3 linked regions of the Ovis aries genome follow. The protein of the gene in region 2 binds, or shares a complex with, the protein of the main gene of each other region. Links are inferred from orthologs where the notes say so. Each region holds a gene or a part of one and is shown on either strand. Other genes may lie near its edges.

Region 1 (3,752 bases), on a different chromosome or scaffold from region 2:
GCTACATAAGAACGCGGTGCATTTTTTGTCGCAGTGCGACAATTGACACGTACAAAACACCCAGGAAATAGTGCTTTTCAAGGGACAGTAGTCCTTCGAAAGTTTAAATGTGCTTCTGTGCTCTTAACTTTCATTCCTCCCCCCTCACTCCCTTTCCTACCTGTTTTTCTCTGCTCTCCTCTTTTTTCTGTATGTGATTGCGGGTAGTAATGGAGGGAGTGCAGCCCTACTGAAAACCGCTACATAAGACAACGGTTCCTTGTTGGATATACATTTATTGATGGCAGGGGGTTTTCACATTCTAGAGACGATAGAGGCTGAATACACAAAGTAGGAGCTCAAACACTAATGGATGATGGGAATTCCTCCGCGGCTCAGTGGTAAAGAGTCCGCCTGCCAGTGAAGGAGACAAAGGTTGGATTTCTGATCTGGGAAGATCTCACGTGCCACGGAAGAACTAAGCCTGTGTGCTGCAACTATTGAGCCTGTGCTCTGGAGCCTGGAGACTGTAACTACTGCAGCCAGGAGCGGCAACTACCAGAGCCCTTGCGCCCCAGAGCCCTTGCTCCGCAATCAGAAGCCCATGCACTGCAACAAGGAGTAGCTCCCGCTCGCGGCAGCTAGAGAAAAACGCCTGCTGCAAAGAAGACCCAGCACAGCCAAAAGTAAAGTTATACATATTAATTTTTAAAAAGAATGGATGACAAGCAGGTGGATGCAATGTACTTTAGTTCAGAATTTCTGAGTGAACCTATTATTCTACCCCCTCCATCGAGGAAAAGACAACGCTTGGATCCTCGGAGCTAGCACAGTGATTGGCATAGAGTAGACATTGAATTACATTAGCTGAATACGGTGATTTTGAGGATTATTTATTTGATGGATGAATTAATCATAGGGTAGGTAAGTGATGAATCACAACTTGGTTCAGCTCTTAAGTCTTCCGGCCTCTGTTAATACCACCTGAGCCTTAGTGGGGGATTCAATACAGTCCTCACCGTAATTGCAGCAGAGGAATAAAACCCCAAGCTGAGACAACGGCGCTAAGAACACCAGTGCGCCCGGCCTTAGGGGCTGCGCGCGCAACCACGCCAGCTGCGGGTCAGGTGACTGCATTTCCCTGGCAACAGCTTTGTTGTTAGCAACCAAACTGTAGTCCCACGGTGGTCCAGGCAGGGCTGCCCGGGGGGCGGAAGGCACCTGCCATGAATCCGCCAGGATCCCTGGGGGTCCTGGAGGAGAAGGAGGATGAACATTTAGCCACCCCAATTCTCGGACCCTCCGTACATTCTGATAATCCTCAGGAGCGGATCCAGGCCCGGCGCCTGCGCATTGCGGCGCGCCTGGAAGCTCGGAGGCGGTGAGTCAGGGTTTGGGCGCGTTCTTCCAAGGAGCGCCCGGGGTGCAGGTGACCTGGGTGCTGGAATGAGGGGGTGGCTTCTCCAGGCCGGAGCCCCTGTGGTGAGGGGCTCGCGTGCCCTACGTGTGAGCTGGTCTTGCTTCTTGATGAGATAGAAAACTTTTCTGCCAGAAGGTTCAAACAAAGTATGTGATATTAAAGCATTGAATACACTTAGCAAAGTCAAAGATGGAAACAGGAATCCCTCCAGCACGTTCACGGAGAGCCTGCTGCGCCAGGCACTGTGGGCCGTACCTGAAGATGTTGGGGCTTCATGACCGGTCCCCCGAGATCGTTCTTTCCTCCTTGCCTCCCAGCGTGCCTTCCTTCCACAAGGGGTTACAGAGCAGACCTCGGCTATCACTTCTGTTGGTTTCAGTGGCTTAACTGGTTGTGTGACACAAAACCGTTTTCCTGCAGAGTCTGAGGCTGATAACTGTACCATTCTCAGGCTGGGGTTGCCACCCTCGTCCACTCACAGACTTTGTGGCCTGTCTTAAGAAGGGGGATCGAGGGGAACTTGCGTGAACCTGTGACTGCCTGAACACCGCACTGTGTGACAGCGCTTATACCTCGTCCTGCTGGTCAGGGTCAGCTGCCTTGCCAAGATGGTGCTTCTCTTGTTGTCTGCCGGTCTTTGGACACAAGGGGCCCAGAGTGATGTGGCTGTGTTCCAACAAAAACTTAACTTAAGGACACTGAAATTTGCATTTCATATAATGTTCGTGTGTCACAGAATATTCTTCATCTTTAGATCTTTTTTTTTAAAATTGATACACTTCATATTTTAGAGCAGTTTTAGGTTCACAGAAGAATTGAGTGGAAACTACAGAGGTTTCCCATTTACCCCCTACTTCTACACATGTATGAAGCTACCCTGGTGGCTCAGATGGTAAAGAATCTAACTGCAATGTGGGAGGCCTGGATTTAATCCCTGGGTTGGGAAGATCCCTAGAGAAGGAAATGGCAACCCACTCCAGTATCCTTGCCTGGAGAATCCCATACAGAGGGGCCTGGTGGGCTACAGTCCATGGGGTCACAAAGAGTCACACCCAACTGAGTGACTAACACGCACTCTACACATGTATAACCTCCTCCACTATCAATATTCTCCACCAGAATGGTACATTGGTACAACAGTTGGATCTTGATAAATATATAATGACATGTATCTACCCATCACAGTACTGTACTGAAGAGTTTCACTGCCCTAAAAATCCCCTGCACTCTGCCTATTCGTCTTGATCTTTTCAAAAAACCATTTGAAATGTAAAAAAATCATTCTTCACTCCTGAGCCATACAAAAGCAAGTGAATCAGATTTGGCCCATCAGCCAAAGTTTGGCAGCCCTGAGATAACAGATCAGTGTGATGCTCTGTGGGATATCCAAGTGGTCCTGATCTATCTAGACTCTAGTTTGTCAGCTCAGGAGCATTGACATGGCCCTGCAAGTATGAGGACTGTATGAGTGTGTATTATCTGTTCCTCCTCGATATGAACTTCCTAATCCTTTTTCCTGACTGAGGTAGAAATAGCATATTTGGCTCAATCAGTGGCCACATTCCAGGTACCTAAGGCCACACTTATATGTTCAAGCAAGGACCTGCATGACAGCTGCAATTAGGACTGCTGCTTGCTTGAGCTTGCAGTAATTGACAATCATTTTCTTGGCTCCATCCATCCAGTTTTTGCAGGGACCTGACCAGTGAATTAAATGGTGATTTGATAGGCACCACCACTCCCACATCTGTGAGATTCCTAATTGTACTGTGTGCTCAACCACTCAGTCATGTCCAGCTCTTTGTGACCCTGTGGACTGTAGCCCACCAGGCATCTCTGTCGATGGAATTTTCCAGGCAAGAATACTGCAATGGACTGCCATTTCCTTCTCCAGGGGATCTTCTCAACCCAGGGATTGAATCCACGTCTCCTGCATTGGCAGGCAGCTTCTTTGCCACTGAGCCACCTGGGAAGTCCTTGAGATCCCTAAGGGTGATGCTAATCCCTACCGTAGCCCTGGTATACAGTATTGCTTTTTGTGCACTTGGGTGCAGTTTTGGAGTGTCCATTTGACCTTCCATATGGCTATAGCTCTTACCCACAGGCCAACAACCTAGTGTGAGAATTTCTCAACTTTCTAAGCATGTTAAGATCACCCTTGTTGCTCTTTAGGGAATGGTTTGGAGGAACAAAGATCCTACATGCCACTTGGAGTAAAAAAACTCTGCCTTTCCAATGCAGGGGAGGCAGGTTCCATGGGGAGCGAGCTAAGATCCTACATGTACTCCCTGCATTGGAAACTCAGAGTCTTAACCACTGGACCACCAAGGAAATCCTGGATTGTGTTCTTTTT
Region 2 (3,652 bases):
TAGAAAGCAGGCATATTTTAAATAAAATTCTATATCTATTTGTGTGATATATATACAAGTTTCAATATAAATAGGGAGCTACTATTAACTTTTTTTTATAAAATAGAGAGTTGGGATAGATAGGTAGATGGACAGATAGATATCAAAATTGACTGTTTTTTATAAACAGCTCTTTATTCTTTATATTTTATTTAATGAATTTCTGAGAAAACTTAAAGAAAAATAATTTTCTTTTACTTAAACCCTCGATAGCTGTAATGAGTGGACAGTACATGTATGTGCTTTTCAGAGCAGGAATAGAGAGTCCATCCAGCTAACTACATATTGATCTGTTTATGGCTGCTGCAAATCAGTAAATCCTTTCCTCTTGATTGGCTCCTGTTGGTACCTCAGAGTGGACTCTGGTGATTTTAACATAGGGTGGTGGTGGTGGTTTAGTCGTTAAGTCATATCCGACTCTTGCGACCCCATGGACCCTGGCCCGCCAGGCTCCTCTGCCCCTGGGATTTTCCAGGCAAGAATATTGGAGTGGATTGCCATTTCCTTCTCCAGGGGATCTTCCCAACCCAGGAATCGAACCCAGGTCTCCTACATTGCGGGCAGATTCTTTACCGACTAAGCTAGGTAGTGGGTCTCTATTTCTGAGAGGAAGCAATTAGCTATAGTTAAGAATGGTGTCCCCAAGGCCTGCCTTAATCATCCTCCTTCTTGGCCTGGCCCCTGTGTTTGAGCTTTGGACCCCTGCTTAAACATAAAATATATATATATATATATATATATATATATATATATATATATATATATAGAGAGAGAGAGAGAGCGAGCAATCTATTTAATCACAGGGCATTTAAAAGTACTATCTCATGACTCTATTTCTATGAATAAATCTGGAAGTTCTGGTTTTATAAAGAACAGATTTGTTTAAAAGGATATGCTATATAACTTGACATTTTGTTACATCTATAATATCTTAATTTATAAGGGCAAAGGTAATGTTTACAAGTTAATGAAGTCTCAGCAGTACTATATTTTGCTGTCAATAGTAATCAATTTCAGATGCAATTAAAATAAAAACTATCAAATGCAGCATTGTTTCATGTTATAAACCTGATAGAATATTAATCATAATACTGTGCAATTATATACAGTAATCTAATGCATTTTCTTCAGATGCACTACTGCGGATACAAAAGATGTTCCACTGCTACAAGATGATAGTTATCCTAAGTAAATGGAGGGATAGAGCAAGACATAAGTTTAAAAAGAGAGAAGATGAGCTGGTATGGCATATTGGACACTTACTGTTTTTTAGAAACTGAACTTTGCTGTTACATTGATGTTGTCTCAGATGATAACGCTACGCGTGGAAAACACTGAAGACTTGCATATTATATACTTTTAAAGGGGTCCTTTTTCTTTTAATTTAACAATCTAAATGCCTCCTCACTTACCCAAAATATTTCCTAATAAATTTTGCTCTTTCATTTGAAGTTCAACATCAAGGAAACATCTTTTTAACATTTCATTTTAATTTATTGATAAAGACACTAAGAATTTTGTTTAAGCAAGTGTTTAGGTGGAAATAAATGTTTAAAGTGGAAGAGAAATGGTTTGATATGATTATAACAGAAATAAATGGTAGACTAAATTTATTCTTTTCTAGATAAGGTTGCATTTCTATCTACTCTTTTCAATATCCAATTTAGTAAATTAAAATCTTAATACTAAATTATCTTTAAAGCTACTAAATTTCTACACTTGAATCATTCTTAACTGGGACACGTATTAGAAATTAAAGCAGTCAAAACAGAGCATCCAGGCAAACTCCTTCAAACTTATAATAATAAAAACATCTCTAGTTTGCTTTAGCTATCAGCATAGTAAATTATCATTTAATGTTTTTTAGAATATTCATAGTAACTACTAGGAACAGATACAGAAACATGCTGGAATTTTTTGTAGTTATATTATTTAGTATGTAATGTTTTACTAATAGTCTGAAATATAAAGTCGGGATAAATAAGAAAGAGAAAACTAGGAAGAAATTAAACCCCATTTTACGGTTCCTGGTGAAAAGGTAACTGCGTGACCAGGCTGCCGTTTTATATCCCCTTAAACTGAATGTCCCTGAGAGAAGGCAGCACTGTTCTCTTTAACCATCCCCATACACTAAACATGATGTTTTGTAGTAATTGATATATATATATATATAAATATGTATGATAGTGTATATTATATATGACACAGTAATATTATCCCTAATATGTGAAAGCAGTGAAAGTGAAGTCGCTCAGTCGTGTCCGACTCTTTGCGACCCTATAGACTGTAGTCTACCAGGCTCCTCCATCCATGGGATTTTCCAGGCAAGAGTACTAGAGTAGATATGTATTAAATAGTTAATTGAGTATTTAAAGAAAATGTTTTATTTTAGCTATGTGATTTCTTGGCCTAGTGGTACTGCTGCACTCACTAGGGTGGAGTGAGGACAGCAGGTGTCTGCTGGGAGGAGAGAGCTACGTGCCAGCTCTCCACTGTGCACGCTTCCTTAGGCTCTAGTATGTACATATATTGCAGGAAAATTGTGTGTGTGTATGGGTACAACACTTATTTACCCTTGAGGGTTTTTTCCTTGATTATGCGCTCTTAATGAATGGATTGAAAGTAAAAATGGGGATTTACTGTAATGATACATCAGGCAATTCTCCAAATTCTTTCCTTCTGACTTTTTTTAAGAAAAACGTTTATATATATATATATATATATATATATATATATATACACACATACACACACACACACACACACACATATATATATACACTTTTTTTTTTTTTTCATTTTTGGCCATGCCACACGGTTTCTAGCATCTTAGGTCCCTCAACCAGGGACCTTGAACCCAGGCTCTTGATAGTGAGAGGTTGGAGACCAGAGAAGTCCCCTGACTCTCCTCTTACAGCTCCAGGGTAACCCTTACCCTTCCATGCCCCAAGTATCAGTTCTGTCATTACCAGAACCTTGACTCTAGGTTTCAGCTTTCTCATTTCTATAAGAGAAGGCTGGCCCACATCTTCAAGGTGACTGCCTATGCCAGTATTGTATGACAACTAGTGGAAATGATCTATAATGCTTTGGTGGTTCAGAGACTATTACATATGCCCTGGACAATGATAATTTATATAATGATGATGATAATAATGTTTAATTGGTGCTGTCATTATATCAAGCATTGTGCTTTATATGTATCGTCTCATTTAGTCCTTACAACAATTCCATGGAATCTGTAAATTATTTTCATGGCAGATGCTAAAGCATGAACTTCAATTACAAAAATTCTCCAAGTTAAAATTCAAAGCAAATTCTAAAGAAGAACACTTTTTTCCTGAACAATTTGTGTCTGAAGACTTTCTTATAGGTGGGATTCCTGATTTTGACATTTCACAGTTACCCAAAAGAGCAATATTACAGGTTCGTATGAACTCATGTCTTAACTAGTTGTTTTGATAATGTTTTCTTAAAGAGTGGTTTTATAAACCTTGTATGAATGATGGAAACCATATTTTGAAGAAAAAATATTTTTTACAACTACCTTTGGGCTATCTCAGCTTTTGGAAGTCATCCATTTGGATGGCTGTAAATTGTTATAATAATCAAA
Region 3 (3,752 bases), on a different chromosome or scaffold from region 2:
CGTGCTAACTCGGTTAGTGCTTGACTCTTTGTGACCCCATGGAATGGGGCTATCCAGGCTCCTCTGCCCATGGGATTCTTCAGGCAAGATTACAGAGTGAGTTGCCATGCCCTCCTCCAAGGGATCTTCCCGACCCAGGGATGGAGCCCACATCTTTTAAGTCTCCTGCATTGGCGGGCGGGTTCTTTACCACTAGGGCCACCTGGGAAGCCTACCTAACTGCTCCTGCAGGCCCTTCACTTCTTCCTCCAGCTTCCTGGTGCGACTCTGCATCGCCTCCTGCAGGCTCCGGCACTGACGACTCATCTCTGGCAGAGCCGTGGGTGGCCAGGGACCCAGATGGGGAGAGAGCAGTGGAGAAAGGACAGAAGTTGTGGGTGGGGAGGGCTCTGCTTGGTCCAGTGGACAAGTGCATAAAGGTCTGTTGAGGGCCTTCCCTGGCAGTCCAGTGGTTAAGACTTCACCTACCAATGCAGGGGACGCGGATTTGATCCCTGATCTGGAAGCTAAGATCCCATATTCCTCAGAGCCAAAAAACCAAAGCATAAAACAGAAGCAATATTGTAACAAATCCAATAAAGACTTTAAAAATGGTCCACATTAAAAAAAAAAAAATCTTAAAAAAAAAAAGTCTTCTGGATTCTTGTGGTGATCTGAGAAGGTAGGGACAGAGCTAGGAAATAAGACACCCATCCGCTATGGTAGCTCAGTATGTGAATTCAGGCCCTCCTTCCCACCCACTCCCACGGGAGGAGTGAGATAAAGGCTAGGGCTGCGTTTCATAGTCCACGGGACATCAAGCACAAAGCACTGCATGTCACGGAAGGTTCCTGCCCAAGACCACAGAAGGCCCCCTCAGGATTCCTGTGGGTGCAGGGAGGGCTGAGGCTAGGTATGGCGGTTCGAAGTCCTCCTTGTCTCCCTTTCTAGCATCCTTGGGCCCTCCCAGTTGTCCTCTTCCGGGCCCCTGTCTCCCGCCCACCTGCTCGATCAACCTCACACCTGCATATATGGCCTTCCCTTCGCTCCGGGCCCCCTCCAGTTCAGCCTCCAGGTCTTTGATCCTCTGCTTCAGCTGGTCTTCCGAAGCCTTGGCTCGGCGGGCTTCATCCCTCTGCAGAGCTGTGAACAGTCCAGAGCAGCCCTCTGCACTGGTTGGGGGCTCCACTCAATCAATCAGCCCCCATGGCCTTGATGGACTCTGTCCACCTTCAGAAACCTGGCGGCAGCCTGCCAGTCTCTCATCGTCATTCTGTTTCCCTTCCCCGCCTCAGAATCCTACAGACTCTGTTACTAAGAGGGAAAAACTCCCTCTGTGTTCCAGCTATAAAAGTTAGCTTTCTTTATCAACCCTCACGGCCCACCCTGTCCTCATGACCCCAGCTCTTGACAATCTTTTCCCATTAGGGGATGGTTAGAGATCAGCTCAGCCCTCCACCATTGTTCCAAAACTTTAAGCTCCCAGGGATACACAAATGCCCACTGTCTCTGTTGCCGAACTTCTACCCTTCTTACCCAAGCGGTCTTGGAGCACCTCCTTTTCCAGCAGTGCCAGCCTGTGCATGGATTCAGCCTCCACATCTGCCCTGGCAAGACAGCAGACCCTCAGCTTGTCAGGATCTCAGCCTTCCCTACCCTCCTCCCACCCTCCTCCCATACCCTGGACTTCTCTTTTTTTTGTGGGAGATACAAGGACCATTAAATGAGGGATCTCTGATAGCAAAGCCTAATGAGTTCACTACCCAGCTCACAGTAGGTATTTGAAAGATTGTAATGAATATACAAGGAAGGCACACAGCCAGAAGGGATTCATGGGTGCTGATTTTCCCATGTTCCCAGCTCCATGGCACCCGAATATGGATATAAAGGGGGAAGGCCAAGACAGCTCCATCTTGTCACGCAGAGGGATGAATTCTCTCTGGAGGTCTCTGAGCCAGAACAAGGAGAGGCTGGGAGGCACCCACCTCCACCCAGTCTGACTCACCAGCACCTGCATTTCTTTTCTTCTTCTGGGCCCCAGCTTTTGTCCCTTTTTCTTTGGTCTTAGGTGGCATCTCCTTCCTGTCCTGGAGGGAGGGAGGGGGCTCATATTTAGGTCTGGACATGGAGACACTCTCCTGACTCCCTAGACGGAACCAGGAGTCCCAGGAGAATTAGTGCTCTCATCTCCAAGTCTGTCTCTTACACTTTCCAGAAGCTTCAGTTCTTGGTTTCCTTGGAAACTTAGGCAAGGCTGGGGCCAGGGGGAAGGATGAACCCATTTCTCTCTACCAGTCAAGCTCTAAGTACAGAAATCATTCCTCTCAACCCTCTTTCAGAGAAAATAAAGCTCAGTACCTGGCCCCTTCTCTCTTCCCATCATCCTTACCCTGCCTCTTCCTTCCTCCAAGACCCTCACTTGTCTCTGTTGTATCTCCCTGTGGCGTGACCCACTTTCCAGGAGGGGCAGAGAAAAGGCCCAACCAGCTAGGAGCCGGAGGAGGAGATTGTGTTCTGGGACCCAATCCAGAGTGGCAAATTTCATTTGGGGGTGGGACTGAGAACTGGAAGGTTGGGCTTCTGGAGGCTGCACGTTGTCCAGGCAACTGGGAAACATGGAGCTGTTAGGAAGGTACATGCATGCTTGCTCAGTCGTTATAATTGTGTCTGGTAGAAGGGGCTAAATACAATGCTTAAAATACCAAGGTCTCAGAGGGCCAATACTCTTCTTGTCCCCAGATCCTAAGTGTAGTTTGAGGAGAGAGGGCTTTGGAACTGATTAAATATGATTCACTTCTATGTAGCACTGCCTGCAATTTGGACACTTACAAATTATAGATTTACACATCCAAAATAATGCTATTGCGCTGATACAGAGGAAAAGAACTCACGGTAGCCATTTGGGGTGATTTACATTTCCCAAAGTCTCATCAACAAAATGACATTATTAAATAGGCTTAAAATTGAAGATTTCAGGAAGGTATTCTACGGTGAATGAGGGAAAGAAATTCAGGAGATGGTGGTTGAGAGAGTTTCCTATTTCAGATAAATGAGACACAGAGGAGAGTTCGACCTAGGACCTCAAGGTGCTGTGCTAAGTCACCTCAGTCGTGTTCGACTCTTGCAACCTCTTGTGACCCCATGGACTGTAGCCCTCCAGGCTCCTCTGTCCATTGGATTCTCCAGATAAGAATACTGGAGTGGGTTGCGATGCCCTTCTATCCTGACATAGATGCAAATCAAGAAGAAAGGGTACTGGTTAGAGACAGGAGCTTTTGAGTTCTCATCCTTACCCTTCTCCAGATATGTAAATTTGGGTAAGTCATTTTCCTTGCTCAGCCTCAGTTTCCTAAATCTTTGATTTTGTAAATCTTGAAAGGCTTGGATTTTCACCAGGTATTTACAGGACTATCTTCTTTTATGGTGACTTAATATATTTCCTCTTTCTCCCTATTCCTGTCTGTGGTTGATTTTCAGACAGGTGCTGAGAAAATAACCAGCTTGGTTCCCTGTGGCATTGAGTTGATTTGGGCTCCCTCTAGTGGATTTTCTTGACCTTCTAGTAAGTCTCCTGAATTTTTCTATTTAAATTATTTATGGAGCAATGTTGGGGGCACCCCTCATTTAGGGGTGCTGCCTAGCATCTTGCTGGAGTCACGAATAGTTGGAAAAATAAATCTGGGGAAGGGAGAACGCTGAGTGGCTTGCCCTGGTTAGCTGTTCCCTCCCCGAAACCCCTCTCTCCAGCCTTTTGCTATTGGGAGCCTTTGCTG

Evidence for each region.
Region 1: FBXL13 (region 2) and DRC1 share a complex: the UniProt entries of both Homo sapiens proteins name them as parts of the nexin-dynein regulatory complex. The link is inferred for Ovis aries from reciprocal best matches to the Homo sapiens genes FBXL13 and DRC1.
Region 3: FBXL13 (region 2) and CCDC153 share a complex: the UniProt entries of both Homo sapiens proteins name them as parts of the nexin-dynein regulatory complex. The link is inferred for Ovis aries from reciprocal best matches to the Homo sapiens genes FBXL13 and DRC12.

What each region holds. Positions count from the first base shown.
Region 1 is NC_056056.1:33,576,947-33,580,698, forward strand, and holds the start of DRC1 (dynein regulatory complex protein 1), read left to right. Parts: upstream 1-1,140; 5' UTR 1,141-1,205; coding exon 1,206-1,360; intron 1,361-3,752. UniProt on the Homo sapiens protein: Component of the nexin-dynein regulatory complex (N-DRC) a key regulator of ciliary/flagellar motility which maintains the alignment and integrity of the distal axoneme and regulates microtubule sliding in motile axonemes.
Region 2 is NC_056057.1:45,810,643-45,814,294, reverse strand, and holds part of FBXL13 (F-box and leucine-rich repeat protein 13), read left to right. Parts: intron 1-1,170; coding exon 1,171-1,280; intron 1,281-3,300; coding exon 3,301-3,465; intron 3,466-3,652. UniProt on the Homo sapiens protein: Substrate-recognition component of the SCF (SKP1-CUL1-F-box protein)-type E3 ubiquitin ligase complex.
Region 3 is NC_056068.1:29,499,263-29,503,014, forward strand, and holds the start of CCDC153 (coiled-coil domain-containing protein 153), read right to left. Parts: upstream 2,410-3,752; 5' UTR 2,186-2,409; intron 2,067-2,185; 5' UTR 2,055-2,066; coding exon 1,985-2,054; exon of another isoform or gene 1,700-1,984; coding exon of another isoform or gene 1,660-1,699; intron 1,587-1,659; exon of another isoform or gene 1,582-1,586; coding exon 1,516-1,581; intron 1,147-1,515; coding exon 1,003-1,146; intron 465-1,002; coding exon 216-464; intron 1-215. UniProt on the Homo sapiens protein: Component of the nexin-dynein regulatory complex (N-DRC), a key regulator of ciliary/flagellar motility which maintains the alignment and integrity of the distal axoneme and regulates microtubule sliding in motile axonemes.